4 linked regions of the Lonchura striata genome follow. The protein of the gene in region 1 purifies or fractionates together with the protein of each later gene. This does not show direct contact. Links are inferred from orthologs where the notes say so. Each region holds a gene or a part of one and is shown in the gene's direction. Other genes may lie near its edges. The genes, in order: CUL5, ASB7, SOCS6 and COPS8.

Region 1 (7,396 bases):
TTCTCCACAACTCTGTGCTTGTGTGAGGAACAATGGCCACATTCTGCCTAATACATGCCATGTGTTTCTGTGTCCCAGGAGGAATCTGGCCTCAACAAAAAACCTCCTGCAGGTTCTGCCTGCAAATAGTTGCTCTGCACCACCCCACACCATCCTCAATGACACTCAGGATAAAAAGTGTAAGGTTTTTCAGCAAGGAAACTATGAGGTAATAGTACTGTTGTCTAAAAATTACATCAGAGAAAAACAAACATCAGGGAGAGAGGTTATTTAAGCTAAAGGACAATGCTGGCATGAGAACAAAGGGGTCCAACTGAGATGCACAGGATAGGTGATTCTGGTGATGCTAAAATAGCAAAGCCTTGGGCTGCTTTAAGTGAAAGCAACAATAGTCTTTACTGTCGCATGCAGGCAATTTCTGCAGAATGCCATTGTTATTAACAGAAAAGGTGATGTGAAGCCCAGATAGAAAACACCAGAAGTGTTTGCTTACCTGTTGAAATGGAAACAAACACAGAAGTCTGGTCACTGACAGTGCTTCTTTTTTCAGCTATAGGTAGATATCTGAGTGTTCTTGCCCTTTTAAAAGGATTGTCTTTAGTCACTCACAGTACGTTTTGTGCATGGGTTCGTTGTGACAATCCACAGCAGTGATAAACAAGAATTTCCAATTGAAAGAAAAACTAAGTCTTAGTATCCCTACTGAATATAACTAGATTGATGGGAGAAGAGTTTAAAATGGACTAATCAACCATCACATTTTTCCCTTCATGAACTAAGATTAGAAGAAACTATTTTCATCTTACTGGTTTCAGGTCATTAGAACAGATCATAGAAATACATATTCCTCTCTGATGCAACTCATTCAAAGCTTGGAATCACTGTACTCCAAAATATATAGAATATTATGATGATATGAGTTTCACTCATCATCCAAATCTTAATGAGCTGTTCCTTGCAAATCACTTTGAAGCAGTGCATGTCTGGGATTGTGATTCCCTCTGCCTTTTACAATCCATGCAAAGGATTAAAACTGTAGACCAGTGTAGTACCAATCAGTAATTAATATCTTCATTAACAGCAGAATTGAATAATAATCCATCTGTAATAGAATTAAAGTAAATAAAACAATATTGTGTAACACTGAGCACTGCAGAAACACCCTGAAGTGGTACTAACATCCTACAAATCCTTAAGATTCACAGATGTCTTTGCTTCCCAGAAAATTCGTGTACAGATCTTCAGGGGGAAAAAACCCAAACAATTACAGTCATTGTATAAACCATGTAAAATGAGATACTCACTATTTTCAATATCAGTAAAAAGTACCAGCATTTCCTTGTCTCTCTGCTTCTCAGATGTTCAAGTTCTCTTTATTCCTTGGCTAACCTATTTATAAGTATTTCACAAGAGCATATTGGGGCAGGATGCACAAACTCTCATACCCAGAACAGTCACTGCTGACCCATCCAGGCTAGCAGCGTGTTACACGATATCTGTCAGGTGCCTAAGGGGACTTAGACCAGACCATGAAAAGTACACTGGTGCTATTGAATTCTGTGTACTCACACATTTTTGCGCCAACACTTGGTAAGTTTGGATGCAATAAAGAAACAGTTGGAATAAAACAATTAAAATTAAATAGAATTATTAGAAATAAGCAATCACAATAGAATATGATGATCTCATTTTGAATAACTGTATCCAACAAAACAATGGAATTGACAAAACTGATTTGTTTTTTTAATATAACAATTGAATAACACGATTAATGAATTGAAATAAACAGATCAGAATAAAACTATTGAAATAAAACAATTGGAATATTTTTAATTTAACAATTGAATAAAAAATTAATCTAAATAAATCAGAATAAAACTATTGAAATAAAACAATTAGAATAAAATAATTGAAATAGCAACTTTTAACCTAGTTCAGATTTAAATGAGAATAATTGAAAATCAGATAATTGAAATAGAATGAAATAATTAGTAGAATTGAAACAGAATAACTGAAATAGAATAATTTAAATCACACCTGTCAAATTTAAATAATTAAATTGAATTATTGGAATTAAATAATTAAACAAATTTTGTTAAGTAGAACAATTGAATAAAATAATTAAATAATTAAATTGAATTATTGGAATTAAATAATTAAATTGGACAAATTTAGTCTAGTAAAACAATTCTAAAACAATTGATAAACAATTAAAATGTAGAATTAAATTTTAAAATGTAGAATTTTAAATGTAGAATTAAATTTTAAAAATTTAAATTAAAATGTAGAATTAAAATTGATAAAACAATTAAAATGTAGAATCAAAATAAAACTAAACTATTAGAATACCATATGAATCTAACAGAAACAACTAAATAAAACAATCTGAATAGATTACAATAAAAAGATCAAACAAAATTTAACTATTAATGATCCAAAATGCCAAATTGGAATTCTCGCAATTGAAATAAATACAATGAACAAAAAAAATTAAATAATCCAATAAAACAAACAATCTTTAGAGACAAAAAACAATAAAAGAACTCACTATAACTGACAACAAGATTCCAATCACAACTAAGTCACACATATAAATAAATTGTATTTCTTATAATTTAATGATAAGGACCACAAACTTAAGCACAGCTAACAAGACGGCCACCAGGGCCCTCTGTCAGTCTTAGACCCCCCTTGGTCCACCTCCTTCTGTATCAATCAATGCCTGCCTGTTACGGCTCCCCCTCCCTTTCAGCCCAGTCACAAAATGGGTCCTCTGAGCCACCACTGATTCGCACTCAAAATGGCACCTCAGAGCTGTCAGCACCACTCACCCCAAAATTAAAATTAAACTTTTTACTTATTCCAAAAAAATAGTTAGTACCAACTAAATGAAAGTAGTCTTGAACTCAAACATAAAAATTAGCAGCTTATAAATTTTAATACCTCTGCTTTCAAACTAACAGTACAATATGCAGAAATTCTCTCTCTCTAACTAAATGCTTTTAAATTCACTTTCCCTGTCTGGTGAGTGGTCTGGGGACTCTTGGCCACCATCCATCCCAGAACCTCACTATACTGGTGCTCCCACCTTCCACACTCACACAATTAACTCGGCTGGAAACAGTTAAACAATAACCATTTGTATCCCAAATAATCAGTATCTAAAAAGCAATTATACCAACAAATTACATCCAGGTAGTCCTGGACTCGAAAGTAAAAACTACGTAACTGAAGTACCACGTAAAAGAAAAATAGAAATTATAAATTACCTGCCTATGGTAGGTAGGTTCTACTCTCCCTGACCCAGGCTAGGAGGAGATCCCAACCCCCGACTCCAGCTCCTAATGAGCTGAACGGCCTCTCCTAGCTGGCCACTCTCACTTTGAGTCACCAGGCCAGGAGGATCCCCTAACTCCCCTTTCATGGCTGAAACCAGATGCGTCCACCTGCCCAGTCCACCCCGTGCAGGACCAGGTGCGAACACCACCCCGTGCGCCCTGCCATGTGGAGAGTTAGGGTCCTGCCCATACCCCAAGCTGGGACTCCATTCTCCCTGCTACTTAAAAGGAGGACATTCCCTAACCGGTGGCTCCCTGTCATTGTTCCAACCTCCCTGCTCAATCAGGGCCATCCTAGAGCAGAGGATTGTGTCCAGACAGTTCTTGAATTCTCCAGTGAGAGAGACTCCACAACTGCTTTGGGCAATCTGTTCCAGTGCTCGGGCATCTTCACAGTAAAGAAGTTCCTCCTTATGTTCAGGTAGAACTTCCGTGCCCATCGTCTCTCCTTCCAGTTGCTGCGCACCACTGAGAAGAGCCTGGCCATTCTCCTGACACCCTTCCTGCAGATGCTTACACACTTAATAATTCTGTAAATAGAACATTCGTGACATCTGGCACGAAGCGTGGCGGCTTAGCTGGATGGGCGTAGGGCAGGGAATTGGCTTGTCGGCACACGGCTCAGTGCGGGTGGCCGTGCGGGTGTGCCCGCGGTGCTCCCCGATCCCTCCGCCAGGGCGTGCGGAGGTCTGCGCCGCAGCACCCGCAGGGACAGCACGGCGGGACGGCCGGGGCTAGTCAGTCAGTCAGTCAGTCAGTCAGTCAGTCAGTCAGTTAGTTAGTTAGTTAGTTAGTTAGTTAGTTAGTTAGTTAGTAGTCAAGTTGTTTCTGCGCTTGCGGGCCACAGCGCCCCGTCCCGCCGAACGCGGGGCCCCGTGCCGAGCCCCGCCCCGCGGCGCCGGGCGGCGCGGCGGCGGGCCGGCAGGGGGCGCTGCAGGCGGGCCGCGGCCGCGCGGGGCGGCGGGGCCGCTCCCAGCGCCGCATCATGTGGGCCCGGCCCCTTCCATGGAGCCGCGGCCGCCGAGCGCCGCCCGGGCGGACGCTGCCATGAGGCTCTGAGGGCGGCTGCGTGCCGAGCACCCGGCCGGTCCCAGCCGCTGCCGGGCTCCCTGAGCCTCGCCGCGGGACAAGGAAGCCTAACGCTGAGGCCGCCGCCGCTGCTGCCGCTGCCGCCGCGGGTCCGGCCGGGCGGGCGAGCGGCCCGGGGCCATGTAAAGCGGCAGCGGCCGGTGGGAGCCGAGCCGAGCTCGAGCAGAGAAACCGCCGTGGCCGGCCGGGAAGGCCCCGCAGTGGGGATCATGGCGACGTCTAATCTCCTAAAGGTGAGAGCGGAGCCCGGCCGAGTCCTGCGGGAGGAGGGGGGAGGCGGCGGGGCCGGGCGGCCCTGCGCTGGCCGGGCCGGGCAGGGCAGCGGGGCCGGGGGCAGGGCCTGGCGCGGGCCGCGGGTGCCGCTGGCCGGGGTTGCCGCTCCAGGGCCCGCCCGCAGGTGAGCGGCCTTGGGCTGCCGGCCCGGCCCGGCCCCGCCGGCAGCTGCTGCCTGCTGCCGGCCCGCGATCCCTGCCCCCGGCTCTCCCTTCCCAAACACGCCCCGTTGGGAAACACCGCTGCGTCGTGCGGATAGACAGGGCACCGTGTCTTCTCTTTGTTTATTTAAGAAAATCCGGGTGTACGGGAGATGAGTTTTAAGTTAAACAAAGAGTTGGAAAATGTCTTTGCCGAGGGCAGGTGCCGTTATTGGGGTGCCCACCGTGTTCCAGTTTTTTTGTTAACTGCAGTTTTCCTGCAAAGGAGAACTCCCGGAGGCCTTTCACTTACGTTAAGCAGCTTTGCTTTTGTAGTCATATGTTTTCAAGCACTTTCCTGGCGTTTGATGGCAGATGTCAGTCACCCCAGGCTCCTACAGGTTGGAACGGAAGATTTCAGTGGGACAGTCCAGTGTTAGAGTTCAGGACTGCCTGTCCTGATCTTTGTGGTATGTATGAGGAGAAGACTCTGTGTGGCCTTTGAGGCCATGCTAGCACAGGGAAGACGGGCCTACTTGAAACCACTGTTATTAGTGCCTACAGTAAGTGTTTCTAAACCACCAGTTAACTACAGTGCTAAGATAGGCCTAGGGCAGGCTGTCTGCTTGAGGGATTGACAATTGAAGATATATATAAATATAGGCATAAACATATGTTCATTACTGCATGTTATAGTTCAGTATGGTCCTGGAAAAGTGCTGCTTGCATTTTACTAACCTGACCTAATTTGGATGCATAGATTTAGCCTGAATCTGCTGGTTTTATTTATTACTCTGGGACATTCATTGTGAAGAAATGAGAACTAATTTATCCCTTTGTCTCTTCAGGATATTAAAAAAACTCTATATTAAAAAGAAATGTTTAAAAAAAATCTTCCTTGAAATTGAAATTATTTTGAATTCATTCCTGTATAGTTTTATGCCTGTAAGAAGTTGTTAGATATTTAAGCAGATAATACTTCAAAATACTTAAAAATCTAAAACTGAGGAACCTAAGAATACAGGCGAAAAAAATATCTCATAAGAAGAAATATTCTTTTTGTGGAAATGCATGTGTTCAGAGCAGGTCTCAGTTTTATCCACTTGTTAATGTTTTAGATCATCTCTTTTCTGTGCATTTGAGGATTTCTCAAAAGTCCAGCACATGCTCTGATGATACATGTGATGGGATAGCCCACAGCAGATAGGAGAAACATAAGCCGTAAGATTTGTCAGCATTCCACTTCAGCTATTTTGAAAGAGCAGTAAAGAGGCCTTGACTTGGTGCGATGTCCCTTGCCAAACTGAAGTCTTTTTGTTAACTGGTCATGATTTTGCCATTGGCCTTTGAGTCGTCAGTGTTTTATATTGACAATAAGATATATATGTGCAGTGTGTTTAAGGAAAAATGCCGCAGAGATGTCTTGTAAAATAGGCATTTCTGGTCACTCAAAGTGTTACTAAGCATTTAGTTTACTAATTAGTCAGTTTTTCAATGACAATAAAGTATGATTCCCACATTACAGAAGGAAAGATTATGCAGTGATTTGACTTGGTTTATAATGGCAAGATAAACTAGTGTGAGAATTAGAAATAGGTAAGGTGTTTTGTTCCCCAATTCCATTTGTCAGAGTGCTCTCTGAGAAGCAAACTGTTCATTCCAGGTCAGTGTTCCCTGGCAGTGCCTTGTGCCCTCTGAGTCTGTCCAACCTACTTCTGCTTTCATCTTTAAATGGGGAAAAAAACAATGTCTGGGCACAGTAAAAATCCCAGGATAAGGAAGGAGAGGTGTTAAAATCTGAAAGTTTTTTTCATATCTGTTTCAAATAAGCCTGCATAATCAAATCTATGTTGGGTATAGACAGGCCTTAGTTTTGCCAGCATGAGCAGGACCTGAGTATCTTCTTTTGTTTTCCCCCATCCAGCTTTCCGCATAGTTGAGACAATGAAGTGAAATATTCCTTTCTGATTCTATTAACAGATAGTAGCTGAATCGAAATCTGACTGGCCATCATAATTTTTGAGGGTGTCATTTAAACTCCACTAGTGCTTAATTTTCCTAATTGTAAATTCTTTTCTGAAAAGCATATTCTTGGAGAGCCTTCTTTAAATGCAAAATTAGAATGAGCAGTCGTGTTGAATCCTAGTGAGACAGAGCAAACTGTAATGTGATGGAAATGCTTAGTAAGAGCCATTACAGGGTCAGCTGGTGCCTGCCTTACCTGTAGCAGAGCTGCTCTCCCTCGCTGAGGCAGTGGCTTTCTGATAGGTGACCAAGCCATTTCCAGCGGAGTCCCTAGAGTTTTTTGTCTCAACACACATGTGACACTTCTAAAGTGGGATACTTCATTTCAGGGGCCCTGTAGGATTATAACTTGTTCTCTTTGCAGTGATGATACAGTCTAAACCAATTCACCCATGTGACATGAAGACATTTCAGTTTTTCTGAAGTTTGTTGAACAGAAGAGACGTTAGCTTATTGTAGCACAAAGAAAACCTATAGCTGTATCCATGCTGGCAGATCTTGCTATTGTAGGGCCTTACTGGAGCTGCCAGC
Region 2 (7,945 bases), on another chromosome or scaffold:
AAACATAATTATGAAATAAATGTGTGTTCAGGATGCTACTATGGAGACTGCAATACATATTCACTAAATATACAGCAAGTTAAAAAAACCTCAAGTAATTGGGTTATTCAACAAGAGCATACACTAAAGCATTTTATTAACTTCCAAGAGGTTATTATTTATTTTTATCTACTGCATCACCCATCAGATACCAAGGAACTGTAAAACTGATAGTCTAGATCATGGCTTTTTAATATCTGTATTGCAACCTCAAAGACATGATTGTAATCCACACCCACTTTACATTAAATGAGTTTCATAAAATTCCAGATTTTTATATATAAAAACACTCCACACTTCTGTTTACACATCATATCTCTTTACCTTCCATACTCCAGGCTCCTCCTAACACAGCTGACTAAGTTTCTCAGAAAATACAAACACTAGAAAAACTTGGCTGTATAGTCAAATGGAACAACCTGCAGGCACAGGCTCACCAATTCATTTTTTGAGCTGTGAAGTGATGCCACACTCACCTCTTTCTTCAGCTGGAAATACACAAGAGATGCTAAACTTTGTGAGGCCATGTGAGATAACAGCCGATCATCAGAACCAAGCAGGTGAATCTGGAGACAGGTAAAAAAGGAAAAATATCTAAGGCACATCCCTTTTTATTTTTCCTCCTTTCCTAAAAATATCTTTCAGAAGTTACCAATTTTGAGTCAATTTTTGCCTCCTTCAGAAGAAGAATGAAGATTTCACAGTACTTCTGTCTCGTGTGGAGTTCCATTTCCTGGGACTCTGCTTTGGCCAGCATCAGTTTGATCAAGGTGAGCTGGAGCAGCATCACCTCCCGTGGGCAGAACGAGGAGCTCATGTTGGCAAAGCTGTTGGATAAATCATCTGTTGCAGGGACAACACCTGACAAATCAGTGCCCTGATGCCTCCCAACGCCACCAGCAGTAGATGGCAGATGCTGCTGATGACAGGATTCATCTCCTCCTGGTGGCTGCTCCACACACAGATTAATTAAAGAGGAATAATAATGGCTTTCCCTTGCTAGGGGAATGCCTGCCAGGACGTCCTTATACATCTGCTGCAGGAGAGAGATCTTCATGATGAAATCATGCAATATTCCAGAAAATGCTGTGTGGCTTCTCTGATTATTCACTGCAAATCAGCTTCCAAGTCACTTTCATACAGTAAGAGAAATTGAAGCACCACTGGATATTTCTCTTCTAAATTACCTATAAATAAAACATTCTGCTGTTACTTTGCAAGCAACTAGAAAATATAAAGGAACAACACATTTTTAGAGTTAATGCTACCATTATTAAACTTGTTTTGAAAATGCAAATTCAGCTGCACAAAACTGTCTCAGTGAGACATTAAAATGAAAAATTACCATGCTGGGAAGAAGTTCACAGTTCCAGTATTATATTACCAACACCAATGTTCATTAGCTGGAATTAACAAACCCAAAGATAACTATTATTAGGGACTACTTCTAAAGATATGAGAACTTGGATTAAATCTTTCTCTACATTGCTAAACTACTAGAATCTAAATTCTTTTGTGACAGATGCCTCCAAAAACAGGCATAAAATTTCAGCTGCAAATTTTCCTCTGAACTGGAAATGCTCATTGCTCCACTGTGGCTGGAACTGGAAACAGCTCTCAAAAAAATGGAAGCCAAAGGAAGGACAAGTCTTGACTTCTGCACACAGGCTCAAGGTGGGCCAACCTCATTAAGAAGCAATTAAGAAAGTGAAAATTAAAGAATAATTTAAAATCAGAGTGTCAAATTTATTAAGAGCCAATAAAAACATTTAAACATATTCAGGAAAGGTTAAAAAAAAAGTCTTTATCCCCATGTCAATAGAAGACATCTTTCAATCACAGCACTGGAATATTGGCTACAGTTTAAAATGAAGAGCTACTAAGAATTCAAATTTCTGCATCAGGTATGAGCACCTAAGCCCTCAAAATTTTCTGTCCAGTATATAAATGGCCAGACAGATAGCCTGATGATATTAAGGATATTTTTTTTCTGAGAAAATTTGGTTTCTTTTCACCTACATTAAGAATTATGCTCATCTGTAATATTTATCTTTTAGAGCAGTTTTAACATGATCTCTAATCAGATTTCTTTTAATTAAAACCAACAAACTCATTACCTTTATCTATGGTGAAGTTAGGAGTGGAACTAAAGTTGATTATATGAATTTTCATACCTTTTTTACTTGCATGCTTTCTGGATCCCCATATCTAAGTCTGGCATAATCAACCAGGTAGAATTCCAGGCAGAATCCTGCAGCCATACACCTGTAGTTGGCTTTTCTTTAAATAATGCATTTCCCCCTTCTTACCAAAGGAAGAAAACCATTCAGTCTTCAAACCAGCAAGAAATTCTAAAGATCTTCCCATCTATGTAGCAGTTTTACCTGCATATGTCACTAGACCAAGTATTTTAAATTAATTTTAAATTGTTTTTAGCAGAATATTAGAAAACAATGAAATTGTAGAAGTCAGCATATGAGGCATTTAATTGTAGTTTCTAATCTTCACAAGTTTTAAAAACAACATCAAACACTGAAAATGACACCTTCATTTTTACAACCTGATTTTGTCATTGATACTAAAGCATGTATTGACAAAATGGCTTCCCAAAGGCACGAAGGATTGGAGGTAGACCAAGATGTGCTACCCTGACTCATCACTTCTCCCACATCAGGAAGTATTTCCTCCAGAAAAGAAACTAAAATTTGAGAGCATGAAGTTGCCTGCAGGAGTAATCTACAATTCCCTCTGGTGTGGTATTTTTAAAGACATTCGGCAAGGGCTGACCTGAAAACCCCAAAATGTTACAGCATGTTCCTCACCTGATAGAAGCAAGAACCCTTCCCCCATCCTCCACATTTTGCTGGATGTTAAGAATACATCTGGTATTTCAGGCAATAAATTCCCTCTTCATTTGCAGAATCTTTTCAGAATTCTACTTAAGGTGGAAATTTATGACCTGAAAAGGCATAAATTTTTTTCAGAAATCACTCTGAATATTTTATATAGCTATTGTTCCTATCCTTGAGCTTTATTTCTTCCTAAATGACTACCTAATAAAGTAAAATCATCTCAACACATTTACTCCTGTTTTCGAGATCAGCTTGAATTATCACCTTATGTGGTAGAGGAAGAGATCTCATGCACAAATTCACACGATCCAGCAAGGTGGTTAAGGCAGGAGAGATTCAGAACTTTTCTAGGACACCCACTGGGAGATTTCACCTTCACCACACGACGCTGGCTGTGCCTTCCTGGATCCTCCCAGAACACATTTGTGTTCCACCATTAATTTGCAAACTTCACAAAAGCATCTCTAAGATATTTCTCACTCACACATGACAACAGTTCACAAACGTAAGCCATTGAAGGAAATGAAAAGTGAGGGGGCTTATTTTGAAGGCATTTACTTCAAAGAGGGAGAAAATATCAGACAAGGGCTAAATTTGTTTCAGACACAGCATGAGAGTGAAAAGCTCAAAGCTGAAGAGTAAAGAAAAGCAGTGACAAGCTCCAACCCTTATTTGTATTATTTATCTGAGTTACTCCTGACAGCATCTAAAAACCAATTAAGGCAATGCCTCACAGAGCCAGACTCCTGCACAAACAACAAGGAATAGTTCTAAAAACCTTATATATAGACTGATCATGTAAAAGATGGAAAAGAAAACTACGCAGAAAGAAAGAACAAAAAAAAAGCAGGTTTTGTATGTTACTTTCATAATTAAAAATTATTTAAAATCAAAACCAAAGTCAAGTGGAGCTGCAAACAGAATGAGAGAAGAAACTTAAGCTTCTTCACTTATATCTCTGAGTTAAAGTTTAAAAAAAATAAAGCAAGGAAAATGTGCTATCAACAATGTTAATTCAGTCAAATTAGGAAGAAATTGTTCCTTGCAAGGGGTTGAGGCCCTGGCACATGTGCCCAGAGCAGCTGTGGCTGCCCCTGGATCCCTGGGAGTGCCCAAGGCCAGGCTGGACAGGGCTTGGAGCAGCCTGGGATGGTGAAAGGTGTCCCTGCTCATGGCAAAGGATGGAAAGAGATGAGCTTTAAGGCCCTTTTTTTTTCTGGAAAAAATTATCCAAAACCCCATCCTATTTTCATTATAAAATTAGATCTGATGAAGCGAAAGGCTCAGTCTGTGACTTTTGGGTATGAATCGGAAGGCTTTGGATGTCCTTACAATGAAATGACCGTAGTGCTTAAGGAATAAACCACACTTTGGACTCCTTGCACCTGCAGCGACTTCCCGCCCTCAGCCCCGCCCGTCTCCCCCTCAGCCCCTCCCGCCGCCGCCTCATTACCAAAGCCCCGCCCCACAGCCAAACCACGCCCACAGCTCAAAGCTCCGCCCCTCACGGCCGGCCCCGCCTCTCTCGCTCCAGGCCACGCCTCTCGGCCTCCCGCCGCGCACCCGCGGCCGCGCTTAGTCACCCCGAGCCGCGGCGCGCACGGGCCCGCCCCCGCCCCGCCGCCGGGCAGCGCTCGCCCCTCACCCGCTCCCGGAGGACCGCGAGGCCCAAACTCCGCTCGATCACAGCGCCGGAACCGCCGCCACCGCCGCCCCCTGTCGCAAAGTCACCCCCTCCCCCTGACTCCTCCGCGGCTTTACGGCAGCGGGGCGGAGCCGCGGGGCGGGCCCGCCGTCAGCCCGGCGGCCAATGGGGCGCGGCGGCGGCGCGCGGGCGGGGGCGGGCCCGCCGTCAGCCCGGCGGCCAATGGCGGCGCGGCGGCGGCGCGCGGGCGGGGGCGGGGCCGGCGCGGCGGGCGCGGATTGGCCGCGGCGCGGGTCAGTCCCCGCCCGCCGACCCCGCCGCGAGCCGAGGGGGGCGGCCCGGAGCGAAGTGTCCCCGCTCGGCTCGGCCCCCGACCCCCCGCCCGCCGCCGCCGCCAGCGCGGGGGGCGGCCGCGCCCGGGGCCCCCGGCCCGCCCCGCTCCGGCACGCGGGTCCCGCAGGTAACCCCGGCTGCCCCGGGGTCTCTCGCGGCGCGGGGAGGGGGGGGGCGCGACCCCATGGCCTCCCCTCGCCCACACCGGGCAGCCCCTCCGGCGGGTGCGGGGCTGTGAGGGGAGCCCCCGGCGCTCCCCCTGGGAAGGGATGCGCAGCCCCTCACCGCCGCTGCCCGCTCGCCCGGCGGGCTCCGGGCCGCCCCCGGGGCTGCCCGCGGAGCGGGGTCCCCGTCCCCAGCCCCCGGCGGCGGGCCGGGTGCCTTGGCGGCCGCCGGGCCTCGGGGCTGTGCGCCGGGGCTCGGCCGGCTTTTTGTGTGTGTGTGTTTGTGTGTGTGTGTGCGCGGCTGACGGCTCCTGGAGCGTGAACTCCTCTGCGAGGCAGAGGTTTGGTTTCCCAGCAGCTCAGCTTTCTGGGTTACTTCCTGTCCCATTCTTTAGCACTTATCTTTACTTCCATTCCCTGGAGGAGCTGCCTTGACGGGGCAGCGGTCCTGCAGTTATTATCCCTTCAACTCCTTCGTATCCTGAGAGAGTGTCCTCTTTTTCCAGGAGAGATCCCGATTTTGATGAATAACCCCTTTCCTTCCAAATTTGTGAAGGCTCTTCCTATTTTGCCCAGTTGCTGCTTTTGTATTAACCAGTTCTGTTCTTCATTTTTCTCTTTTATGTCATTGTGTGGCTCAGTACTACTTTTATTTTTTTTTTTTTTAGGTTTAAGCTGCCTTAAAGGAGAATTAAAAATAGTGACTCCAAAGAACAAAATAACACAGAAGAGAGAAAGCAGCACTCAAAAAACCCCCAGAAAGGTGATGATTCATTTAGACTCTGAGAGTCATCCTAGACACATGGTTTGGCTGGGATTGGGGCCTCTTGTGTTGTTATGGATTTTAATAGGTAGCATTTGATTTCTTTGTTCTTTTAAAACCTACTTGCTTTGGCTGTTGATCTTTTAAAGTTTGAAAGCTCTGAATCCCATTTGAAGTACAGTTCTTCTTGTAACACTTTATAATTTTCCAAAATTATTCTGCAAATGTTATTTTGATTATGAATTGCTGCTTAATGGGGCTTTTGTGTCTTCATCTCAGGGGTGTCACTTAAGAATACTTGGCTGTAGGTCGTTAAAAGGATCTTTTCTTTAAGTCTTTCCATAAATTTATGGGTTCAGCACTGCTTTTGTTTCAGTTTCAATTCTAAAATCTTTATTGGGCTGGGTGATGGTAATTGCATTACATTGGTTTAGTCATACTTCACTCCTGTGTGGGTCACTTTTTTGTGTGCGTGTTGTAACGGAGCTGCAAAAATTGAAATTAATTTAATTGGATGGTGTCTGCTTACAAGTACTTAACTTTTTGGGCTGAGATCATAGAAGGAGATGATGCTGTTGGGTGCTTAAGGGGAAAAAATCAAAGGAGTCATCAAATCCAATGCTGCTGGTAGGAGGGAGGTTCTGTTTCAGGGGGAGAGCTGTTCGTAGGGAGAATTGTGTGTTTTACGTGGTGAGATGAAGAAATGGATCCTAGGAGAGAGAGTGGGGGGTGAATGATGTCAGTCAGACTTTTTCTGCATCCTGCTGTCAGCGTGCTCCAAAGGATGGAGGCTCTGCGCCTTTTTCTAACGCAGAGTCTGTCTTGAAGCCATTTTAACCTGTTTCAAGTGTAGGTGAGCTTGGTTTTTTGCCTAAGATGCCCTCCCTAGAGGTCCCTCTGATCTGTGTCGTGTTTTCAGAGAGGTCACTGACTGTACCAAAACATTGTTCATTGTTGGCAATCAGTTGTTTTTGAGCATTAGCCTGCAGGAGAAACAGCAGTATTTGTTGCCAGCAGCCTTGGTCAAGGCTGGATCATTTTTCCAATACAGATGTCTTTAGATTAACATAAAAAGTGTTTGCTCTGTGTTGAAAATTAAATAGAAAATTCCTCTGTAACACAAGTGCAACAAATCCTGAGGCACACTTTGGAAGTGCAGGGAGGAAATTTTCCATGTTATTTTGATAACTCGAGAGTAATGGCAGAACATGTGGACATGCCCAGTGTGATTCCAGGGGGGATTTTCCTGCTAATAGGTGAAGCAGATGTGCATCAGTACAGACTTACCAGTGCAGCTATTGCACAGCTGTTTAATCGGAATTTAGTTTATTATAGCCTCTCTTTCCCAACCCACCCAGTGCCTCTCACATCAGGGCTGTAGCTGCTCCAACAGGACACCTCTTGGTGCCAACAGTTCATGGGATCTTTGGGATTTATTCACAACAGGAGACCTAAGTTTTCATTTGATTTGTGAAGTTCCTTCCTAGTGTGAAATGCCAGTGCAGCAAAGTTTGATTCAGATGCAGAGACTGGAATTGAGTTCATAGGAATCAGGGAATTAACTTCAGGCAGAAATTTGCACATGGTTGAACAAGGCACAGAGATCACTGATATCCTGCTCTTGATCCCTGGAAGAAATGCAGAATGTTGCAAATGTAGCAGCCCTTTAGAGAAAGCTTTAATCTTCAGGCTATATGCTCATTTTGGGTTTGTTTTTCCTCATTGTGAATCCTCAACCCTTAAAGGAAATGTGCTGTCTGAAGGATGGTTTTGTTTTGTTCCAGTAATGCTTACAGAATGATATTATCACAGTGAAAATCTTGCTTTGTCCACTAAACAAATCCAACAAATTTTGGATGTCTTGGATTCTTGGATTCTTTTAGGCTGCATTAAATAGAAATATGTATCAAATGTACTTCTAGAGATTGTTGAATGTTGAGATTGTTGATTGTTGAATGACCCAAACTCTGTAAGCAGTACTTGGTTTATCAGCTGTGCTGTGAGAATTAGGGCTGAAGAGACTCCTTTAATGTGGTTTGAACTCACCATTGGTTCCTGATTCTGTCATTCCATGCAGTGTTGGTGTTTGGGTGCTCTAATGGTAGTAAATCATGAATCTTAGCAGTTAACACTTGCTACAAATTAATTA
Region 3 (7,170 bases), on another chromosome or scaffold:
AAACAGAAGCAATAGCAGTACTCTGATTAAAATGTAGCACATAATTTTTATGTATGATAGCTTTTAGTAGCTGTAAGAGGTCTTAATGCCATCTATACCTTTTATTTCAGCAGTACTAGTAAATAATGCAAATTTAACTCCAATCTGAGACAAAAGGTTTGTCTGTGTGAAAGAAACTCCTGTATACTTCACTTCATTTTGGTGGTTTTTTTTTGGGTTTTTTTTTTTTTTTTTTTTTTTTTTTTTGTAACAATAGTATTAAAATGGGTGGAGGGGGAACTCCCTCCAAAAAAAAGAAAAAAAACCCACTTTGAAAATATTTACATAAATGAACTTTAATAATAGAAATTGAATTTATCAACAGAAAATGTGCAAGAACCTAAGAGAAACTAAAGTGGAGCAAACAACCTACAATGTCTGAAAACCATATGTGATGATGTGATATATGGGGACTTCTAATACATATTATAACATAGGAATATAAATATACTATATTATCTAAAAATACAAATAAAGGAATACATAAATTCACATAATAAAAAAGGAGAACAGGAATTTTAAAACCATAAAATTAGGCCACAGTTACAAAAAATGATCAGCAATTTAGTGATTTTGGATATATGGCTTTCCTTAAAAGCATATGTTTTTTCAAGGCCATCTGAACACTTAAGATCTAAAAATCAAAATCCTATAAAGCATTACAATAATTTAAACATTTCAGTAAAATTACAACAAATTCCCTTTCTGAAATATACTGAACAGGAAAGGAAAGCATTTGGGTGCTTAAAATAAAATCAGAGCTATATGACTGCAAGAACAGTTAGACAAAGGCACTAACCTCCCACCACAATTCAGGCCAAAGAGCCATGGCCAGGGAAGTTGTAAGAAGGTGATGATAATCTATGCCATTCAGGTAGATAGCAATAAGAAAGAAATAGATACAATGGACATAACTTTTGGCTTTGTTGTCCGTGAATACTCATAATTTAGGTTTCTGACCTGTCCCTCTGCACTACAGATTTGTATATACACAGTTTGATCTAAAAAAATAATAAAATTATTTATAATCACATTTTTAAGTAAGAGAGAAAAGGCATAAGCATATAAAAATAGAGAGTACATCAATATGCAACCCCTAAGTAATTAAAACTGGGTGTAGAGTTCCTGATTTTAGAACCTCCCAAATATAAAGAAATCAGATGGGAAAAAAATTATTTTCTATTACCAAGACCAAATTTCTAGTTCTTGTAGTTTCAAAAAAGCTAGCAACTGTGAAGCAAGTCTGATAGGTGATACATACAAAGAGCATTGAAACAAGATGCATGAATGTACGAACAGCCCAATTTAGTTCAATATGTGTTTTTAAGCCAAGAAAAACTCAACTGAGTGATCCCGCTTGCATTCTCCTTGTCTGCCATCCAGGATGCAACATCAGTCGCACACTTGTGTGAATTCAGACTTGGTGATAAACTGTTGCTCTCACTAGGATATGGCTGTTTGTTGCCACATTTCCATGGGGAAAAGTCTATCCTAAACTTGAAGCTGTATGTTAAGACTGAGTCAAACCAAGAGCACACTGGTTGCCTATGGAAAAGAAAAAGATGTGAGAAATAAGGCATCGGTTCTCCTTTATGTCACAATTTATTGTTAGGAAAATGAACCTCAATAGATTTTGCCACCTGAGCTGGCTTAGAGAGGACCAATGAGGCCTGGAGTCACTGAAAAAAAGGAAAGGGTGTGCACGGGCAGGAGGAGGGAAGGAGATGGAGAGAAAATGAGAAAGGTGAGTGCTTGGAGTAGTGATGCTAATTTAAGCCATATTTAACATCATCACTACTGAGAAGAATGTTAAGATATGGAAGATTTGGGGGAAAAAGCTACCAAATATTTTGCATTAAGTTTCTTCAACCTTCCTGTTGTCTATCAGTCCCATTTCTGCAAAAAGCTAAGTCCTTTTATTCATAAGACTGATAAGAGAGCACTTTCAGACACATGGAAACCTTTGGTCAACATATGGCCTGGAAAATCTCATCATCCAGACTCAACTGTTTTTTTAGTAGTTTGAGAGACTGTAGAATAAGATTTCTAAGATGATTTTAAAAATTCATCTCATATGCAAGGTAGATCACTGCAAAAGTTGCCTATGGTAAAAGCTCCCTGAAAGCAAAATGAAGGACAAACATTTTAAGCCCAGTTGGCTTCTTCACATACTGCTGCTATTGTCCCACAGCTGCTGCTGAAAAGTTTATACTAAACAAGCTTAAGTTAATACTACATATATGTGTCAAGCACAAATGCCAGCAGAATCCTGAAAGTAATTACTTTTTCAAATGCTTGTATCCCAAGGAAAAAGAAGCCCAAGAAGAAGGTAAGATCATACACACACACAAAGAAAAATTCCTTGTTTCACAAAATGACAGAACTGCACAAAAATTAAATTATTCCCCATTAGAGCCTTGCTTGCTCTCTCTTATTCCCCTTTTTAACTTGGTTGCTAAACTTATAAGTTTATAAGACTTATAACAGGAGAAGAAGGAATGCTCAATGCTGTAAAAAAAAAAAAGTATTTTATTATTTGTTTAATTTTCTTTCTTTGAACACCACTGCCAACCTAGGAAGTAATTTGTATTTTTCATATCTACAATATTGTTTTACAAACAAAAGTTAAAACCCATAAGGTTTCATGTGATCCACTTGAAGTGATTCTTAGCTTTGTTATACCACTGATAATATGTAATCATAATCGTAAAACAAACAGTTCTAATCTAAAACACTTAATTAAAACATAAATCATTCTATTTATAAATTAAAAAGTCAAACCTTATATTTGAGAAAAAACATTCTTTCTGCAACTCTGATTAGTCATCATCTGAAATGGTCACAGCCTGCCAGAAACTGAGGTTGATTCGACACATAAGGAAGCATACGACCCTTGAATGAGACTCAAGGAAAGTATTTAATTCTCTATAAATGCCTGGGATATAAAAATATGAATACAATAAAGGCACACTCGGATCTCAAATACCCTAGGCAGTTAAACAAGTCACTGACCTGAACTCACTAACACCTCAGATCTCCCGGAATTCAAGGAGCATGTGCATGACATCTTGAGTGTCATTGGATACTTCTTAACCTTGAAGTCAGTTGCTTCATAATAAGCCATACAAGTACTCTGTCATGCGACTACATAGGTAAGCAAATTGTGCTTATCTGTGCAAATCTGGTTGTTAATTTGTATCAGTTATATACACTACAAGGAGGAAACTAAGGTAGTATTTTACTAGCTGCTCAGTAAAATAGCAAACACAACTTGCAACAACTTTTCAGTCAGCAAACACAACTTGCAACAACTTTTAAGAGCCGTATCGTCGATAGATTTTAATCCTTCACACCCTGCTTGTTGTTTCCATCAGTCTCACACATCCTAAACTAAGAATTGTTTTCTTGCTCAGGAGTTAGCATTTTATTTTTAAGAAGAGACCGGGGAACAAGCAATCAAAGAAGTCTGCTTGGCTGAAGTTGCTGCAGCACAGCTGGTATGCCTGAAGTTTAGTGTCAATTTCTCGAGGAGATCTGTGAAGCAGAGTGGAGCACAAAAGTAACGCCTGTTCTGGCGCGTCGCTTTCACGTCAAGAGGTGTGAGGGAAGGTGAAGCGGAGGAAAAGATCACCTCCCTGCCTCCCTCTCCCGCTCCCTCTCCAGCGCAAGCGGGCCTGGAGGGGAGCGCCCGTGGCCGGCAGCGGGGGGCGGCCGCGGGACCCCTCTGGCCGGGCGCTACCAGCGAGGGGCTGCCCCCGCCAGAACGACGAGGGGAGGTGGCTCCCTGTGAACTTGGCCGATGAGCTCCTGGAGCCCAGCGCAGCGCTCACACACCGGAGCGCTGGGGGAGAGAGGAAAGGGCCGGGGCTAACAAAGCCAGACCGCCTCCCTGCTGCCACTCCAGCGCGGCTCCCGGCTGCCCCCCGCGGGTTTCCCGCGGCCGCTAAGCGGGAACGAGCCCGGGCGAGGCGCCCAGACCCGAGCAAGGGAAGGGCCGCCGAGGGCTGGTGGAGCCGGCCGGGCGGCAGGGGCGGCCGGGCAGGCGAGGACGGAGCGGGGATGCCTGCGGCCCTCCCGCCGCCGCCGGGCCGTGCGCGGGCGCCGCAGCCGTAGCCGTGCCTGCGGCAGGCGGCGGCCATCGCGGGCTCGCCGCCCCCGTGCGCCCCTCCGAGGACGGAGGGGTGGGGGCAGAGGAGGCGGAGGAAGCGGCGGCGGCGCCAGGAACAGGGAGGCGGCGGCACGGCGAGGGAGGGAGCCGGAGCCGGGCCGGGCCCCGCGAAAGCAACAGCAGAGCCAGCTCCTCCTTCTCCTCCCCCTCGGTGAGTGCCGCTCCGCCACCCCCGGAGGTTGCTCCCCGCCGAGCCCGGGAGCCGGCGCAGGCCGGGCCGCGCCGCCGAGGTGCCCGGGGCGAGGCCCGCGCCGGGAGCGGGACACCGCGGCCTCCGCCGGGTGAGCGTCCCCGGGGCAGCGGGCGCTCCGCGGCCCGGCGCCCCCTCCCCGCGCCGCGGGGCGCGGAGGGCCGGCGCGGTGGAGGGGGAGCCGTGGATTGGGCCGGCGCGGTTCGTCACTTGCCCGCCGCCCTCTTCCCGGGCCGCGGCCCCGGCCTCGGCTCCCTTTGTTTGCTGGGCTCCCCGAGCCCGCGGCGGTGCCAGGCCCTGCGGAGCCACCGGGGCCGCGGCGCGGCCTGCGAGGCGGCCGGGCGGGCGGGAGGGAAGCAGCGCCGGGCCCGGGCCGGCGAGGCGCTGCCCGGCCCCCGCCGTGACAGGAGGGGTCCCGGCCAGCCTCTCGTCCCCGCCAGTCGCCGCAGCGGGGCCCGCCGGGCTCCCGTGCTCCTGCCCTGGGCCGCTGCCCGAATGCACCCCGCGCCTCCTGGTGCCATTGTGGGGGACGGCGGAATTGGGCTGATTTTCCTTCAGCCCGCCGTGAAATCCGCCTTCACTTGAGGCTGGTGTGTCCCCGTCTCCGGCAGGGCGGGTGCCCGGAGGTGGCGATTTGGGCAGCCGGTGTCGGGATTTGTGCGGTGGAGGAGCCCCGGGTTGTTGCGAGGTGAGGGTGCGCCGAGAGCTCCCGAAGGGGCGAGCGAGAGAGGCTCCTTTTTATGACAGACAGCGCTTAAGAACTTGCCTTCAACAAAAGCATTACCAGATCCGCAAAGTTTATTCGCTTTCATTGTTCTTACTCTCTTTCTGTCATGATGCCACTTCTCTTAGAAAACAACTAGTCCATGCCAGCCCGTTTGCTTATGAAAAAAGCCTTTGCAAAACAACGGGGTTTTGAGAAATGCAGAGGATGATGCTTCTGTGATGTGAGGGTACTTTGGCTACGTCTTTCTGTCCTCTTTATTTTTGTCTCCCTATGTTTTCAAAATCATCTTGGTTTGGAACGCAATGTTTTTTTTTCGTGTGGAGTAGGGCACTGCATTACAGTAGTTGCTCATAGAATATGCTTTAGACAGGGAAACTGACTTCCCCTTAAAAAATTCTTGTACCCTTTCACTGTGAGGTCTTAACCACTCTTTCCTACAGGCCAGGAATGTTTATGCCGTGTCTATCCTCTCAATACACCTGTAGTTAAAAAATGCCTGCTGCAGGCCTCCTGTCTTGGAGTGCTGCTGTCTGCACAAGTACTCCAGGAATAATGCATCTGCATTTCTTCTATGGGTGGAATAAAGTAGAACTGGTTCTGTTTCTAGTTTCTGTTTGTGCTAATAGACACATCTTTGGATTGTAGAAAATAGGGAAGCTTTGGTGCGATTATGAAACAAATTACTTAGCTTGGCTGGAAGACCCTAAACAGCTAGAGAATGTGTAGGTATTTTTTGAGTCTTCTGCAATAAGATAGTAGTCATAATGCACAGTTTTATGTGTAACTTAAGAAAGACAATTTCAGCTTTTGCAAAATGCAGTTTTTTGATGTGTTAAACCCCCATCAAGTACTGTTTTCACTTCCTATTTGATATTTCTTGGGTTTCTGGCATTACACTGTGTTTGGAACTGAGCTTTTACTTGAAACCAGGTTCACTTCTTGTATGCTTAATTAGGGATGTATTCCCTATATCCCAAGTTTTGAGATTTAAATAAATTTTTTAAAAGATAAAATTAAATTAAATAAGTGATAACAGTGTATTGTTATACAGACATACCCATATTAGCTAACTTCTTGGATTAGCTGCAAGGGTATGGAGTATTTAGCAAGAAGCTCTGTGTTGTTTCCAGGGGCTTCATGAGCATCACTTTAATGCACTGCATGTATTGCAGCATCCAAGTGTTTGCATAGATTCAGGAGACTTGGTAGCTTCATAAAAACTTGACGTACTGAAATCTAAAAAACATTTGTGTATTAATTTATAATATGCTGTTAACTTCTTTGATCCTAGATTGTGAAGTTGGTCAGTAACCCTGGGTTACTCTTGGAGAGGGATGGTTTGAAGAAATGGTAACTGGTTCTTATTCTGTGAGTAGATTATGATTTCTGACTCTCCTTGGCATAGTGAATTGGTGGAATGGGAGAGTGTAATCTTAACTAGAAGTTGTTCATACAAAGCAAGTTAATTATTTCTGCTCTTTCTTATGATTTTTTTTATAGTCTTAGAGTAATTTGAACATGAACACTTGCAGGACTTCATTTGGTAGGGCTGCCATGAGTACACTATATACTTGCTATGCTATTGTTGGCAGAAGTGGGGCCATAGTCCAGGGTAATCCCTAGCTCGAGTGCCTTTTTTTCCTCTTTCTTTATGGCTCTCTTGGGCCTACGCAGCACTAGTTTGATAGTGTTTGGGTAGTACAATGCAATAACATAAAATAGATAGGAAGGAGACTGTTCTCAGCTGGTGTGTGCCTCAGTGTTTTGTTGATGGGGCTTTAATGTGTGTTAGCAACAAATTAAAAGAGGGTAGCTCAAGCAGTTCTGATGCTCCAAGGAAGAAAATAAGATGCCAATAGCATAAAAGGGAATATAATGCAGATGCTAAAATGTCTTGAGTATAAATTGGATAGGATGAAAAACAGAATAGAGATATCCTATGCCATGTAGCTGTATATTTTGTACTGTAAAGTATTAAACTGAGAGCAAATACAGAACTTTGAGTTTACCCTTTTTTTATGTTTTTTATTTTTCAGAAGAGAAATA
Region 4 (7,149 bases), on another chromosome or scaffold:
TTGGCTGAGGATCCCGGAGAACAAAGCAAAAACAGGAAAATGCACAGACAAGCCTGGAAAGTCATAAAAACAAAGTTTAGGTTAAATACACAGAGGGTCTCTTATGCCCTTGGCAGGTTAATTAAAGGGCAGCTTTTGCCTCCAGAGCCTGTGGCAGGAGCCATCGCTCCTGGTTACTCACAGAGAAGACAAGAGGAGGGGGATGGAGGTGTCTGGGGTGGACAGAAAGGAGCCCAGCCAGCCCCAGATCTCAGCCCTAGGGGAGATTTGCCCCGGAGCAGCAGCAGGAGGACACAGAGCCCCACAGGCAATGACAGCTGGGTGGAAAAGCCTCATCACTTCCAGCTACTCTGGTCACTTTTTGGTCTCCTACATATCCTCCAAGCTCCTCAGCCTCTCTGATTTAGGGTTTGTTTTTTTTTCTTTTTACTTCATAGAATCACAGAATTATAGGATGGTTTGGAAGGGACCTTATTTAAAGCCCATCCAGTTCCACCCCCTGCCATGGGCAGGGACACCTTCCACTATCCCAGGTTGCTCCAAGCCCCATCCAAATCTGACCTTGAACACTTCCAGGGATCCAGGGGCAGCCACAGCTTCTCTGGGCACCATGTGCCAGATATTTATACCACTGTGCTGGAGTATAAACCTCTAGAATTGAGACCTTGGGTGTAAGCTGAAAAATCAAGGGTGAGGTCAGCAAAACAAACAAACAAAAAAAACACACACAAAAAAAAAAAAACCCAAAAAAAACCCCCAAAAACCAAAAAAAAAAACCAAACAAAAAAAAACCCATAATATCCCAAATATCCCAGATAGCTTCTTGTTTATTGGAGTTGAAACCAACGTCCCTATGGACATGCAATAGATTGAAAAGCTTGTTTGGGGAAAAAGCAATGATAATTTCCCACCAGCCGCTTGCCATTTCCTTTCATGGGCACAGCTCCTAAAAACGAGGCATTTTCCCCTTTGATGTCATGGAAGGAAATAACCTTCCGTGTTTGGATCCAGCCTTTGCTCAGATCAACCCAGCTATTGCCAGTCAGGCTGTTGAGGGAATGGGAAGGGCGTGGGGAGGTTCATCTTGACCCTTTAGCACCATTTTCTTTAACTTTCACATTAAATTACTGTCCTATTGTTCCATATCGCCCCATTGCATCCTAATTTCCCCACCACGAGTCTTTTGTTCCTCTACAAAGCTTTGGAAGCAGATGAGAAAAGGAAACCACTTGCAATCATCTTTCCAGAGGGTACCTCCAGATCACAGGCAGCAGCACATGGAAACAACTGGGAAAATTAAGCCCTGTCACGAAATGTCTGTTAATTTTTCTTGGAAATGCCTTGGTATTGCTTTGAAAGCTACTGGGTCTGTCCAGGATGGCAGAACTGGGATCCATTTCCCTCCCTGCTTTAAAATTCATGCAAGGCACAAACGAGTTGCTGAGATTTTCCTGCCATCATCACCAGGAGCTGAATAAAAATCACATTAAACTTACTTTACACTCCTGCAGCAGCCAGCGGCCACTGTCTTTAAGTGCTTTTTGAGCCTGTGGGCCAAAGAAAAATCAGGATGCTGTCAAGTCAAGGAGCCTTCCTGTTAATTTAACGTGGTTAGCTTTGCCAGTGGGATAGATTTTCCAACGTGCTCAGCTGTTTTATGAGTCTGGCCTCTTCTTTTGGTGTCTGAATTGAGGAGAAATTCCTGAGTGAAATAAATGACCTTGTGGTTTTCTGAGATGCTGGCTCAGGCAGCTGCCATCACCGTCCAGAGGTCCTGGGTGATGCCACCACACTGAGGTCAGGCTCCAAACAACGCCAGGAACATCTTCCACACCTCCCGGATTTATAACAACCCTGAAAATACAACAAATCTGCTGTATTTTTTCTTGGTGACTCAAAAAGAAGAGTATTCCCTTCTGGCATGTTTCCTCCCTGAACATGTTGCCACAGCCTTAAATAGCTTTGGAAAAGGGGGGAAAAGAGAGAGGGGAGGATGCAGAACATGCTTGCAAAAGGGTAGGTTCTGGCTAATTCCCTGCCAAGGAATTGCTTCCAGAGAGGGGCTGGTGCATTTGGGAGGCTTGGCTCAGCAGTGCATGAAGCAGCACTTCTTCTGTTGTTCCGAAAGAAAAATGAAAAGCAAAACGAAATGTTAAAAAAATAAAGAAACAAAAAAAACCCAACAACAACAACGAAAAACCAAAACAACAAAAAAAAAAAGCCAAAAAACCCCCTAATTCCCCCCAAATAGAAAGATTCTCTCGGGTGGAAGGGACAGCGGGATGTTTGGACGTCCAGTTTCCTTGGATTTTTAGGCAGTTTCTCTTGCAGCTAGTGCCCTCTTGAGGAAACCTCTCCTCTATTCTATTTTTACAGGGTTTTTTTCCCCCGGATGAAATGATCTCCCGGCGGGGAGCAGGAACATGGTCAGGGGCTGCGATTCTGCCCCGGCCCAACACAGCCAGCGGTGCCGGGGACCGGCTCACGCCTTCCCACCTGGACCCACCGGGAAGGAGGATGGCATCGGGATGTGGGATTGCAGCCCCCAGGAGAGGAATCCTTCCCAATTCAACGTGTTCCCGGTGGCAATCCGGGATGCTCTGACCCCATCCCCGCGGGAAGGTCCCCCACCGGCATCATCACAAGCTGCCGCCCTCTTTGCTCCCCTCCTCGCCTCCCGAAAACACGAGATAATTGGGAACGGGAGCAAAAGGTGAGGACAGTGCTCCTCTCAGATGTCCGAATGTCAAAGCGACGCTGGCACAGAGCTGGCGGCTACAAAGGGCCGTCGGGATCGATGCGGCTGGCGGGGACGGCAGCGGGATGAGAGGTTGCTTCCCGGGAAAGTGATGCCTGAGCCGGCGGAGCAGCAGTGCCATCGCCTGGACCCTCCTCCAAGATGCTGTGCCTCAGGCGAATCCTAAAGTGAACACAAACACACGTTAATTTTGTTTTTCCACAGCCAAAACCTCTCCCGCAGCGCGGGGACTCCGTGGCAAAGGGATCAGGATTTACCCCACTCTTCTTTTTTTCACCCCAAAAGTGTGGAGGACTCACGAGTTTCACAGCGAGGTGGTGCAGCTCTTGAGCACGGCTTGGGAAAATTCCCTGCGTGAAGGATAAATGGCTTGGGGAATGATTTTTAGGGCAGTGCTGGGGATGGAGGATGGTGGAAGCGCTGGGGTCAGGCTTTGTTCAAGGAATATGGAGAGGAGGATGATGATGGAAAGCAAACCCGTTGTACCAGAAAAGGAAAGTTTTGCAGAAAATGAGCCCTTCGGGCTGATTTTACCCTGAAAATATGAATTTACATCTGCGGCCCCAGCAATACCACTGATTAGGATATTGGTGCTGCATGTTGGGAAAAGCGTGAGCTCTGAACAGGCTCCCCGGGGAATGGTGACATTCCCAAATCTGCCAGGGCTTAAGGAATGTTTGGACAAGGCAAAGGCTGGGATTGCTGGAATAGGTGTCTGTGCAGGGCCAGGGCTGGACTTGGTCCTTGTGTTTAACCCAGGGTACTCCATGCCTATGGCCTGTCTCCAGCAGCCGGCAGCGGGTTTCACAGGAAACAAAGATAAAGGAACCCAACTGTAAAAACTACTTCTAAAGCCCAGCACCAACAGGTACAGAGCTGGAAAAGCACTCCCTACCCCTTGAGAACAACCCTTACGTACATGCAATAAGGGATGTGCAATAAGGGATGGAGGGCGTCCGCCTCACGCAGCGCATAAATGCGGCAGATACGAAGAGAAAACCGTATTGCACGCCAGGCACACTCATTTCTTTATAGGGCGCGGAAAGTTGGCTTGTCACACAGAAAACAAAGGGATTTTAAAGGGCTGTAACCGCGGCCGCCCTCAGGCGCCGCGCGCCCCCCTCAGCCCCTCACGGGCTCGGCCACGCCCCGTATTGGTCACGCCCCGGATTGGTCACGCCCCCGGATTGGTCACGCCCCCGGATTGGTCACGCCCCAGCCACGCCCTCTAATTGGTCACGCCCCCGTATTGGTCACGCCCCCGGATTGGTCACGCCCCCGGATTGGTCACGCCCCAGCCACGCCCTCGGATTGGTCACGGCCCCGTATTGGTCACGCCCCCGGATTGGTCACGCCCCCGCGGTCCTCCAGGAGCGCCGAGAGGCGGGCGGGAGGCGCGGAGGGGAAGCGGAAGTGACGTCATCGCGCGGCGCCCGCTGCGGGCGGGCGGCGCCGTGAGGGGAAGATGCCGGTGGCGGTGATGGCCGAGAGCTCGGCGAGCTTCAGGCGGCTCCTGGAGCAGTGCGAGACGCAGGAGCTGGAGGTGCCGCGGGACGGGGGGCGGGGAGGGGTCTGTGTCCGTGCGTGGGAGGTGGACAGGGTGCGTGGGAGCGGGGGAGGGCTCAGTGTTTGAGCTTGCCCCTTGGGCTCGCCAGAGAGCCCGTCGGAAAGTAGCACCTTGCAGATAAATGGGTGTTTCCGTATTATTATTCGCGTCGCTTCAGAGGGAATGGAGGGAGTGGTGGAGTTTGTGGGTTTCCGTCCTTCTCGTGGCTGAGAAAATGAAGGTATCGATCAGGGGAGTGCAGCCCTGAGCCAGGCTCGTGGAATTACCCTTAGAACGAGTTTAATGTGGCAGCTTTCACTGGGAGCTCCCTCTGTGCTGCTTTACGGTCTGTTGTCCCTTGATAAAAGGCCCGAAGCCTCATTGGAAATCTTTGCAGCTTTCAAATTTTTTCACCTTTTTTATCGCTCCTTTATTTCCTCCTTGCGAGCGCTGCTGAGGTGTGGCAGGGGCCGAAGCTTAACTCGAGGTTCTTGGGAGGGACGGAGAGGCTTTGCTGTGGTGGAGTGGCCTGAGCTGAACGTAATCGAAGTGGGCGGGTGATTTAATTTCACTTTCAACAGCTGCAACTCCTATGAGCATAGGAAGATGGAGGCTTATTTATTCCCCCCCTAGAAAATTGCAAAGACCTGTTACATGATGTGAGAAAAAACATAAATAAAGCTCAGTCATCTTGGGAGTGTTCAGTTTATGTAAAACCTGGCTTGGTGCTGCGTTTTGTATCACATCCCCCTTTAGAATCTGCAAGCCAAGAATGTGTGTGTGTTTTCAGGCCCCTGGAGGAATTGCCACACCCCTGGTGTATGGCCAGCTGCTGGCTCTGTACCTGCTGCACAACGACATGTAAGTGGCTTGTCCCAGCCTGTGGCACTGGCTTTGTCACCAGCACGTTGGGAATGGGCTCTGGGATTAATAAAAATGTTGGTTTTATGGAGAAATAATAACAATATTCCCAAGAATCGAGTCTCTTTCACCCCTTGATCTGTCAAGAAAGCTGTTCTCCTTTCCTGTGTGGGAATTTGGGAATGCAGTTCCTTCAGTGGTGAAATTGGCTCCTCTGGGAAGTGTTAAACATTTCAGAGATTTGTTTTGTAGCTCTTCAGGGCTGCATTTGTTTTAGGTTGGATTTGGGGTTATTATGGATTTATTGGTTTGTTTTGGGTTGGATTTGTTCCTTCTGTTTAAATTCCAGCAGGATAACTCTGGACCATCCCTGTTAAACATGAGTGTTACTATTGGCTTGAAGGAGCTAAATCTGCAGGAATTCCTGGGAATTTGGTTTGGGGGGGTTATTCCATGTCTCTGGGTGTACTTAATGCACTAAACTTGAGGTTTTGGGGAGAAGTTGCTTTCCCAAACTGGTGTTAAATGAGGCAATTAAAGAACTGTTGGTTGTGTTACAGCAGTGCAGTGTTGTCTGCTGGAGAGCAGCTCTGCTTTTCCCACTTCAGTATCCAATATTCCTTCCTGGAAAGAATATTTTTAAAGCACTGAGAATATTCATTATAGCATCTGGACAAACCTTGTGGTGTCTTTTTGCTGCATATGGTGACTGAGAAGTATTTTTCGTCTTTCTATTTATTTATTTTTAGGAATAATGCACGTTATCTCTGGAAAAGAATCCCTCCTGCTATCAAATCTGTAAGTATTGGGCCAAATTTACTTCAGAAACCTGCTGGTTTTGTTGCACAGCAATGTTCTCTGAAAATATGGGGGTGGAAATGGGTTTTTGCATAAGGATTTTCTTCTGGATTAATACTGGCTTTTGTTTTTGGTTTTTTTGTGGTTTTTTTTTTTTTTTTTGGTCACAACAGGCAAATGCTGAACTTGGTGCAGTTTGGTCAGTGGGACAAAGAATCTGGCAGAGGGACTTCCCAGGAATCTACACAGCAATCAGTGCACATCAGTGGTCTGAGACTGTCCAGCCAATCATGGAAGCACTCAGAGGTACAAGCTGAGCAGGGAATTGCCTGGAATTATTTATGTCTGCTCCAACAGAAGCAAATTGTCAATTGTGAAAAATCAGGACAACTGTTGCCAAGTTTTTGTAGGTTTTACTAAAAGGTTTTCCGGTGTCGGGTGTAAATAAATAGCTCTACAAAACCTTGTAGAAACAAGTAAATTGGTCTTAGTAGGATTCTGTTTCTGTGTATTTTTTGACACTGGATTTTCATAAACCATGTGGTTTGTTCTGTAAGAGCAAAACAGACCATAAATCACCCAGTTTTATCAGACTTCTAACCAGGGAACTTGGCTTGGCATTTCAGAACCTTGTAGGACTTAGAAAGTGGTTTTTCAGTGAAATGTTTTCCATCTTGTGTAATGGTAACATGCAGATTCTTGCTCCTAGAGGGCAGTGCAGACTGCTAAAAAGAGGTGTTTTGCAAAACAGGTTCCCTAAAACTGCTTTTTAGATGCCACTAATTAGTAACTAATTGCTGGCATATTGCCATCAGAGGATGCAGAGTTCCCTGAAGTGCTTTACATGCTGGTGGTGCAGCCCAGGATGCTGCAGGCTGCGCTTGGAAGTTCAGTGTAGGCTCTGAGGGGCTTTGTCCTGGCAGAGAACAAGCTGTTGTCTCTTGCTGCTGACTGTGAGCTGTGGGAAGGGAGGGGGAACTCCTGAAATGCTCACTTGAAGGCTGGTAGTGATTTTCCAGAGGTGGTAGAATTGAGGAAATGTTCTCAGCTTTCCCAGCTCTGGAGATGAGTCTCTTGTGTCCTGTGTTCTCTCTCCCTAGATGCAACCAGGAGACGAGCCTTTGGACTGGTTTCCCAGGCTTACACATCAATAGTTGCAGATGATTTTGCAGCCTTTGTTGGCCTT

What was found.
Region 2: the proteins of CUL5 (region 1) and ASB7 purify together in Homo sapiens (affinity purification with mass spectrometry; 6 studies listed by BioGRID and IntAct, counting the BioPlex papers as one, with this or other methods). This does not show direct contact. The link is inferred for Lonchura striata from reciprocal best matches to the Homo sapiens genes CUL5 and ASB7.
Region 3: the proteins of CUL5 (region 1) and SOCS6 purify together in Homo sapiens (affinity purification with mass spectrometry; 5 studies listed by BioGRID and IntAct, counting the BioPlex papers as one, with this or other methods). This does not show direct contact. The link is inferred for Lonchura striata from reciprocal best matches to the Homo sapiens genes CUL5 and SOCS6.
Region 4: the proteins of CUL5 (region 1) and COPS8 purify together in Homo sapiens (affinity purification with mass spectrometry; 3 studies listed by BioGRID and IntAct, with this or other methods). This does not show direct contact. The link is inferred for Lonchura striata from reciprocal best matches to the Homo sapiens genes CUL5 and COPS8.

The regions. Positions count from the first base shown.
Region 1 is NC_134604.1:44,393,935-44,401,330, forward strand, and holds the start of CUL5 (cullin-5), read left to right. Parts: upstream 1-4,389; 5' UTR 4,390-4,636; coding exon 4,637-4,660; intron 4,661-7,396. UniProt on the Homo sapiens protein: Core component of multiple cullin-5-RING E3 ubiquitin-protein ligase complexes (ECS complexes, also named CRL5 complexes), which mediate the ubiquitination and subsequent proteasomal degradation of target proteins.
Region 2 is NC_134613.1:21,482,803-21,490,747, forward strand, and holds the start of ASB7 (ankyrin repeat and SOCS box protein 7), read left to right. Parts: upstream 1-4,926; 5' UTR 4,927-4,996; intron 4,997-5,701; 5' UTR 5,702-5,796; intron 5,797-7,945. Other genes in the region: LINS1 (protein Lines homolog 1), read right to left, coding at 516-605, 692-1,096. UniProt on the Homo sapiens protein: Probable substrate-recognition component of a SCF-like ECS (Elongin-Cullin-SOCS-box protein) E3 ubiquitin-protein ligase complex which mediates the ubiquitination and subsequent proteasomal degradation of target proteins.
Region 3 is NC_134603.1:56,548,324-56,555,493, forward strand, and holds the start of SOCS6 (suppressor of cytokine signaling 6), read left to right. Parts: upstream 1-4,163; 5' UTR 4,164-4,358; intron 4,359-4,409; exon of another isoform or gene 4,410-4,488; intron 4,489-5,063; exon of another isoform or gene 5,064-5,085; intron 5,086-6,415; exon of another isoform or gene 6,416-6,492; intron 6,493-7,170. UniProt on the Homo sapiens protein: SOCS family proteins form part of a classical negative feedback system that regulates cytokine signal transduction.
Region 4 is NC_134610.1:38,284,727-38,291,875, forward strand, and holds the start of COPS8 (COP9 signalosome complex subunit 8), read left to right. Parts: upstream 1-4,149; 5' UTR 4,150-4,223; coding exon 4,224-4,301; intron 4,302-5,094; coding exon 5,095-5,165; intron 5,166-5,914; coding exon 5,915-5,963; intron 5,964-6,136; coding exon 6,137-6,269; intron 6,270-7,063; coding exon 7,064-7,149. UniProt on the Homo sapiens protein: Component of the COP9 signalosome complex (CSN), a complex involved in various cellular and developmental processes.